Linked DNA regions of Kluyveromyces lactis. The protein of the gene in region 2 interacts with the protein of the main gene of each other region in a biochemical or structural test. Links are inferred from orthologs where the notes say so. Each region holds a gene or a part of one and is shown on either strand. Other genes may lie near its edges.

Evidence for each region. The genes of interacting proteins can lie anywhere in the genome.
Region 1: the proteins of KAP95 (region 2) and ASM4 form a complex in vitro, tested with the Saccharomyces cerevisiae proteins (2 studies listed by BioGRID). The link is inferred for Kluyveromyces lactis from reciprocal best matches to the Saccharomyces cerevisiae genes KAP95 and ASM4.

Annotation. Positions count from the first base shown.
Region 1 is NC_006042.1:687,741-690,936, reverse strand, and holds ASM4 (FG-nucleoporin ASM4), read left to right. Parts: upstream 1-1,410; coding exon 1,411-2,655; downstream 2,656-3,196. Other genes in the region: KLLA0_F07271g (uncharacterized protein), read right to left, coding at 1-142; LUC7 (Luc7p), read left to right, coding at 381-1,151; NUR1 (Nur1p), read right to left, coding at 2,765-3,196. UniProt on the Saccharomyces cerevisiae protein: Functions as a component of the nuclear pore complex (NPC).
Region 2 is NC_006038.1:508,640-513,059, forward strand, and holds KAP95 (karyopherin beta), read left to right. Parts: upstream 1-1,527; coding exon 1,528-4,113; downstream 4,114-4,420. Other genes in the region: long-chain fatty acid transporter ACB1, read left to right, coding at 380-406, 484-720. UniProt on the Saccharomyces cerevisiae protein: Importin beta subunit that functions in nuclear protein import through association with the importin alpha subunit, which binds to the classical nuclear localization signal (cNLS) in cargo substrates.

The sequences.
Region 1 (3,196 bases), on a different chromosome or scaffold from region 2:
CTCGACAAATTCTAATTGCGCTGTCATTACCATTACCTCCAATAACTAAAGCAGAAAATACAGGCTCCATTGTTTCTAGCTTGCATGTTCTAATTGTACTACAAATTATTTCAAAAGGATCACCTAAGATAGGAATGATCATGTTTAGAAAACCTAAACTGCCATTTGTGTCATGTTTTGCTTGTGTTATTATATATTTATTTTCAGTATATTTTGTCGTCAGAATTTAAACCTGGCATTTTCAACAAGCTACTTGAAAAGGCGTACTGAAGAAGTATCATTGTTGAACTGACCAACAGAGCAGAAAAAGTTAATCACAGAGTCCAAACTGCACGCAACAGTTTGGTGTTACTTCCATCAGAGATATTTGTAAGTGAGAAATGTCTGCAATTTTAGAACAGCGCAAGCTGATTTCTCAGCTTATGTCTTCGGCTGCCACATCGCATGGGCTAACTTCACCATCAACGTGCAAATCATTTATCATTGGTCATTGCCCCTATGACCTTTTCCAAGAGACCAAGCAGCCCATGGGGCATTGTCCACGTATACATTCAGTCTCGCATAAAATGCAATATGAAAGAGATGTAAAGAAGGGCAAGAAATATCCTGAGTTTGACCTTGAGCATTACTCCATCTTGAAGAAGATTCTTAGTGATTGTGATGTTCAAATTGAAATGGCACATAAAAAGTTACAGCATCATGAGGAACATTCGAAATTAGCAGCACTTCTACAAGCAGTGAATCAGCTTGAATCCAAATGTGCTTTAATGCTTTCAGAAATCGATATGCTTATACAAAACGAAGAAGTTATGAAGGCGATGATTCAAAGCTGTAAATATAACAAACTGCAAACAGAAAGGGACACACTCAGCGAAAAATGCAGGCAAATGAACGAAAACACAGGCCAAAGTGCACAACAGAAGCTACAGGTATGCCGTGTATGTGGAGCCTACCTTTCAAGATTAGACACGGATAGAAGACTCGCTGACCATTTCATGGGCAAACTCCATCTAGGATACGTAACTATGCGTAAAGAACTTGACATGGTAAAAAAGAGATTGCACGAACAAGGGACAGATCTTCACACATATCTCCCGCAAACAAGGAGACATCAAAAAGCAGTATATAGAGGTAAATCTTATCGATCGTGAATGTATAAATTTACACATACACTGAAGCTGTTCATAATGGCAAACATTACCCGGATTTGAGTATTCTAATTGAAATAAAACAATTTCAACTAATAAACATCAAGAATAAGATTAGATGAGAATAGCTGTTATCATCGTAGCATGTTCATATGCACCGGTAACACTGTGGTTTGGTGTGTTCTTCAATTTCAAGTAGGATAAATTGATCATTTTTGACTGTTGAAACATTGTTGAGAAAGCGAACTGACAATCCTAAATCATGAGTTCAGTATTTGGCCAACAAGCGCAACAAGAGAACAGGTTTGCAAACTTGCAAATAAATTATCCTCAGCAGCAGCAGCAAAACCAACAACAGCAGAATAGTTCACAATCACTAGTACAGAGCTCTGCCACGAATGGAAAGGAAGAAAACTGGTATAATATAGCTAGAAAGAGAAACATTCCACAATCCGTGATAAAAAGATCGTCTAAACCGAGCTCATCTGGAGATGGATCTTCGAATGACAACTCTTCCCAAAGATCCGGATTCAATAGCGTCCAGTTTGGCACAAAGAAGCCAACATTCAGCTCTACGCAGCCTGCACAACCTACTGATATCGCGACTTATGTGGAATCGAATGAAGCTCCCCCAACAAAATCGTTATATGATTGGCAACGAGAGGATGAGTTCGGGTCTGTCCCCACTAACGTGAACGCAATGCCTTCGTCTAACCAAATACCTTTGACTCAAGAATACACTAAGAGCACAAGAAACGCATTCGACAGAGATGCGTCGAAATCCCCTGTAAAACCGACAGCGGATCAAACAAATGATATATCAAGACAAAAATCGCAAGAGAGCGCAGTAATTGTATTTGGATATCCAGAATCCATTTCAAACCAAATAATATTACATTTCTCAAAATTCGGAAATATTTTAGAGGACCTTGAGGTTCTAAGAGGTGTTACAGGTAACAACATATCCAGTGCTACTATTAGAATTCGTGCTCAAAATAAGGACTCTAAAATTCCTCATAAGAAATATCCTATCTTCACGGGCGATGGATGGATTAAAATCACGTATGACTCCCCTAGTGCCGCTCTGAGAGCTCTACAAGAGAATGGTACCGTTTATGGAGGTTGTTTAATTGGCTGCGTTCCTTATAGCAAAACAGCCGTAGAACAATTGGCTTCGTGCAAAATCGATAAAACTGATGACATCGGAGAAATCCCGTTCAGTTTATCGATGAAACCAAACGGACCTGAATCATCTGATATACAAAATGGGACACAAGAAAGTGCTGATAATAATAAACATGGGTTCACCTTTTCTACTCGGAAATTGGATGTCAAAGATGGAAAGCAGTTGTTTGTGCATAATGCAAACCCTCCTCATGGTGGTCCAAACTTTTTAAGAAATTTGGAGAACAAGTTACGAGAACAGGAACAGCATGGGAATAACCAACAACCAACAAATTTAATTGGAAGGGTCAACAATTGGTTATTCGGGTGGAACGACCTATAGTCTCATTGTCTTTAGTAATTAGAGATGTATTATGTTTATATAATTTACGGATACCTCAAGAAATTCCAGTGCACCAAACTTCAATGAATGTGAGTATTTGAGTGAATAACTACCGAAATGGTGAAGACGATGAATTCCGAAAGGGAGACTTTGATATACGGTTATCATCATCATCACCATCATCGTAATGTAACGTACCAGAATTGATGTCGGGAGATCGATTGAAATAGCCTTGTCTGCCTCTTCTGAAACGATCATCCATTCTGAATCTGTCATCAGACACATCGGGTATGCTATCATTTGTTTCATCCGGATAGTTTAGTAACCTATTTGCAAAGTGTTGTTTAATAGGACTATGAGAGTTTCTTCTCTCACTTATATTATGATTTCTAGATGCATTGGCCAACATGGAATGATCGAAATGAGGTTGTTGAGATGGTATTAGAAGTGGCGTGGAGGGAGCGGAAGGTGTATTACCACTTTGAAGATGAGAATAGCGAGAAGGGCTCAAACGCGGACTATGCTGTCTGCTAGGATACGA
Region 2 (4,420 bases):
TCACTCAATGCTCTATAGCTGTTTTGACCAATGAAGTTTCAATCTGCCCAAAATAAATCATTTGGGTTTGACAATAAATGAAGACAGTTTGATAAGAAAGCTAGTCGAGTTAAATAGACGCTTCTAGGTCCTTTCTGTTTGCTGTTGGAGCAAAAAACGCATCAGCTGTTAGATCTTACCTGAATACTAATGCCGTTCATTATGAAAAGTTTCGTGCCATGTAAGCAAAAACTGGAGGAAGTTGTTTTCAGTGAGAAAAAACATATAAATACCTAATGCACAAAATCAAGAGAAGCTTTACACATGGTACTAAACGAAGGATTTGTGAAAGACAAGTGTTAGTTCAATACGTCAGATATCGACACTCACTCAAAACACAATGGTTTCTCAATTATTCGAAGAAAAGGTATGTGGAATCGTTGTTGCAATGGCTTTTGATTTCCCTTAATAATCATACTAACCGCATCTTACATTTATCTGCAGGCTAAAGCTGTCAATGAATTGCCATCAACTCCAAATAACGATGAATTGTTGAAATTGTATGCTCTATACAAGCAAGCAACCGTCGGTGACAACACCAAGGAAAAACCAGGCATGTTCAACTTGAAGGACCGTTACAAGTGGGACGCCTGGGAATTGTTGAAGGGCACTTCCCAAGAAGATGCCGAACAACAGTACATCGAATTGGTTGACCAATTGATCAAGAAATACGCCCCATAGAGCTGGATGGTCTCGCAAGTTATTGCATCATCTAACTAACTATCTATATCTACATATATATTATCCTTGATCCATATAGCTAATGATAATACCCTTATTACTCGGTTTGAAACACGAATTACAAGTCACGTGAACAAGCTAACGCCAACTATTTACCCGGCTATTTGCAGTTGAGTGGCAAAAAATTCTTTCTTCCCTAGCAGTATATAAGTTACCCTCCGTTAAACAGGAGCACGATCCCTATTTTTCTCTTCATTTATGGGGTTCATACATTGTTTTCTAGGCAATATATCCGGGTAACAGACTCTTTTACTTTCCATCTGATTCCACTCCAAATCGTAGCACAAACGCGCTTTACAAGATGCTACACAGCTTTTTCTTATTTTTTGCTTATTCCCAAGCTTCAAAGAATTTCTTTCCTTCACATCTATTTATCAAACAAAAACAACTAGAAAACATTTCGTAAACAAAAGAACTTAGGATCCAAGAAACAGGGAAACATTTCACTTTGTATCCTTGCGTTTAGGTGTCTTGTGCAAGGGAGAACGGTTCGTGAGACACTTGATCGAGAGTTCATACTCAGAAACTCGTTAGTAGGCGCCGAATAATTACAGAATAAAGGAAGATCTAACGTCGCTATTCGATATACTGATACTTTTATAAAGTGAACCAAGTGTGAAAATTTATTATTTGCCGTTTGCTGTTGCAGTTCCTTGTTTTATTTCTATAATTTTGGAGACTGACTATTGAAACGACCCGCTAGGATTTGGAAACACTAGTAAGTTATAATACCCTTTACAAATCGTTATGTCAGCTTCCGAGGTTGCCCAGTTTTTGGAAAACATTATCATTACTCCGGACCCAACGGTCCGTCTTCAAGCGGAGACGACGTTGAAGAAATTATCTAACGATAATTTCTTGCAATTCGCTGGACTTTTGTCTCAGATCTTGGCCGATGTGTCCGTTCGTCTTGAAGCTAGAATTCTAGCAGGTTTGACGTTGAAGAACGAATTGATTTCGAAGAACCCAACAAAGGCCCAGCAGTTTGCTCAACGTTGGTCTACGCAAGTCGATGCAGAGTCTAGACATCATATTAAGCAGTTTGCGTTACAAGCGTTGGTTGATCCAGAGACTCGTGTTGCCAACGCTTCAGCTCAGTTGATCGCTGCCATTGCAGAGATCGAATTGCCATTGAATCAATGGCCAGAGTTGATGAAGATTATGGTAGATAATACCGCTCAAGAACAACCAGAAAATGTTAAGAGAGCTTCCTTGTTGACATTGGGTTATATCTGTGAAAGTGCAGACCAAAGTGATGAAACTTTAATCAATCAATCGAACAACATTTTGATCGCTATCGTTCAAGGTGCACAGTCGAACGAAACTTCTAAGATTGTCAGACTTACCGCGCTTAATGCATTGGCTGACTCGCTTGCATTCATTAAGAATAATATGGAACGTGAGGGTGAAAGAAATTACTTGATGCAAGTCGTATGTGAAGCTACCCAGGCTTCGGATGAAGATATTCAAGCGGCCGCATTTGGTTGTCTTTGTAAAATCATGTCACTATACTATTTCTACATGAAACCTTACATGGAACAAGCTCTATTCGCTTTGACCGTGGCTACTATACAATCATCCAATGAAAAGGTGGCAGCAATGGCCGTTGAATTTTGGTCTACCATCTGTGAAGAAGAAATTGATATTGCTTTTGAACTGTCACAGTACTCCAACCCAGGCTTGGAATCTTACAATTTTGCTCTAGTATCCATCCAAGAAGTGGTGCCAACTCTATTACAGCTTTTAACAAAGCAAAATGAAGATCCGGATGATGATGATTGGAACGTGGCAATGTCTGCTGGTGCTTGTTTGCAACTATTCGCTCAAAACTGTGGTAACTACGTAGTAGAACCTGTCTTGCACTTCGTTGAACAGAACATCACCAGTGACAATTGGAGACAACGCGAAGCGGCTGTGATGGCTTTTGGTTCTATATTGGACGGTCCTGACAAAACTCAATTGACTAGTTTAGTCCATCAAGCGTTACCACCTATCCTCAACCTAATAACGGATCCAGTTTTGCAAGTGAAGGAAACAGTAGCATGGTGCATCGGCAGAATTGCAGACTCAGTCGTTGCTGCTATAGATCCTCAAGACCATCTTTCTGATGTTGTAAACGCTTGTTTGATCGGGTTAAAAGACCATCCAAAAGTGGCTACCAATTGTTCTTGGACGATTATCAACCTTGTCGAACAATTAGCTGATACCCCTTCTTCTCCGATATACAATTATTATCCAGTTCTTGTTAGCGCATTGCTTGAAGCTTCAAACAGGTCAGACAATGAATATAATGCTAGAGCATCTGTATTTTCTGCTTTGACTACTTTAGTAGAGTTCGCTAATGACCAAGTCGGGGAAACTACTACCTCAATTTCCACTTTTGTTTTGGATAAACTTGGACAAACAATGCAAGTGGATGAAGCTCAATTAACAGCTGAAGATAGACAAAACTTACATGAATTACAATCGAACATTTTATCTGTTTTGGCTGCAGTGATTAGAAAGAACCCACAATCTGTTAATCCAGTAGCAGATATGTTGATGGATCTATTTATGAAACTTTTGAGCAAGAATGATACAACATACGTGGAAGATGATGTCTTTTACGCTATTTCTGCTCTAGCATCTGCGTTGGGTAAAAACTTTGAAAAGTATTTGGAAAGTTTCTCCCCATATTTGGTTAATGCGTTAAATCAAGTACAGTCCCAAGTTTCTATCACTGCCGTCAATCTAATTGCTGATATCTCTAACTCTTTAGAGGATGACTTCAAGAAATTCGCTCCATCGTTCATGAGTGTTCTTGGGCAAATGCTTTCTTCTCCAGATGCGAAGAAGGAATTACAACCTGCAGTCCTTTCTGTTTTTGGTGATATTGCCACCAACATTGGATCAGATTTTATACAGTATTTGTCCCAAGTTATGTCCGTGTGCGTCATGGCTCAAAACTATAAACCGAATTATAGCTCTTCTGATGCCCTCGATTATCAATATAAATTATACGAATCAATATTGGACGCATACGTAGGAATAATAACAGGGCTACACGACCAACCAGATGCATTGTTTCCTTACACAGGTTCAATTTTCCAATTTATCAACTTATTGGCTGATAATCCAAGTGTTGCATTAGAAGATTCAATTGCAAGAACAGCAGTCGGTATAGTGGGTGATATTGCTGCCATGTACCCAGACGGAAGGCTCCAACAATTCTATACACAACCATGGATGATTAAGTTTGTAAAGGACGTGAAAACCAATCAATCCTTTTCTCAAAACACTAGAGATACAGCAAGGTGGGCAAGAGAACAACAAAAGTTGCAATCTAACTTGTGATTCTTTTCATTCGCTCTTGTTTGCCTGCCTACTATTAATAACAATACACTGACTTCCACAGACAACTCACTTGCATAATTCACTGCCTTTGACAGTTTATTCACTCCAACCACTGTTCATTGGATCTATGGACGCCAGTTCCCTCATCCTTTTTAATATAAAGAAGTCGACCAGTTCAAATTTCCTTTGATCCACTACTATCATTCTCATTACTCCTACTACTCTTATTCCCTACTCTTCTACTACTTACTACTCTCTTTTATTCTCACTATTGCACTACTTATTATTCTACCCTTGTATTTTATTT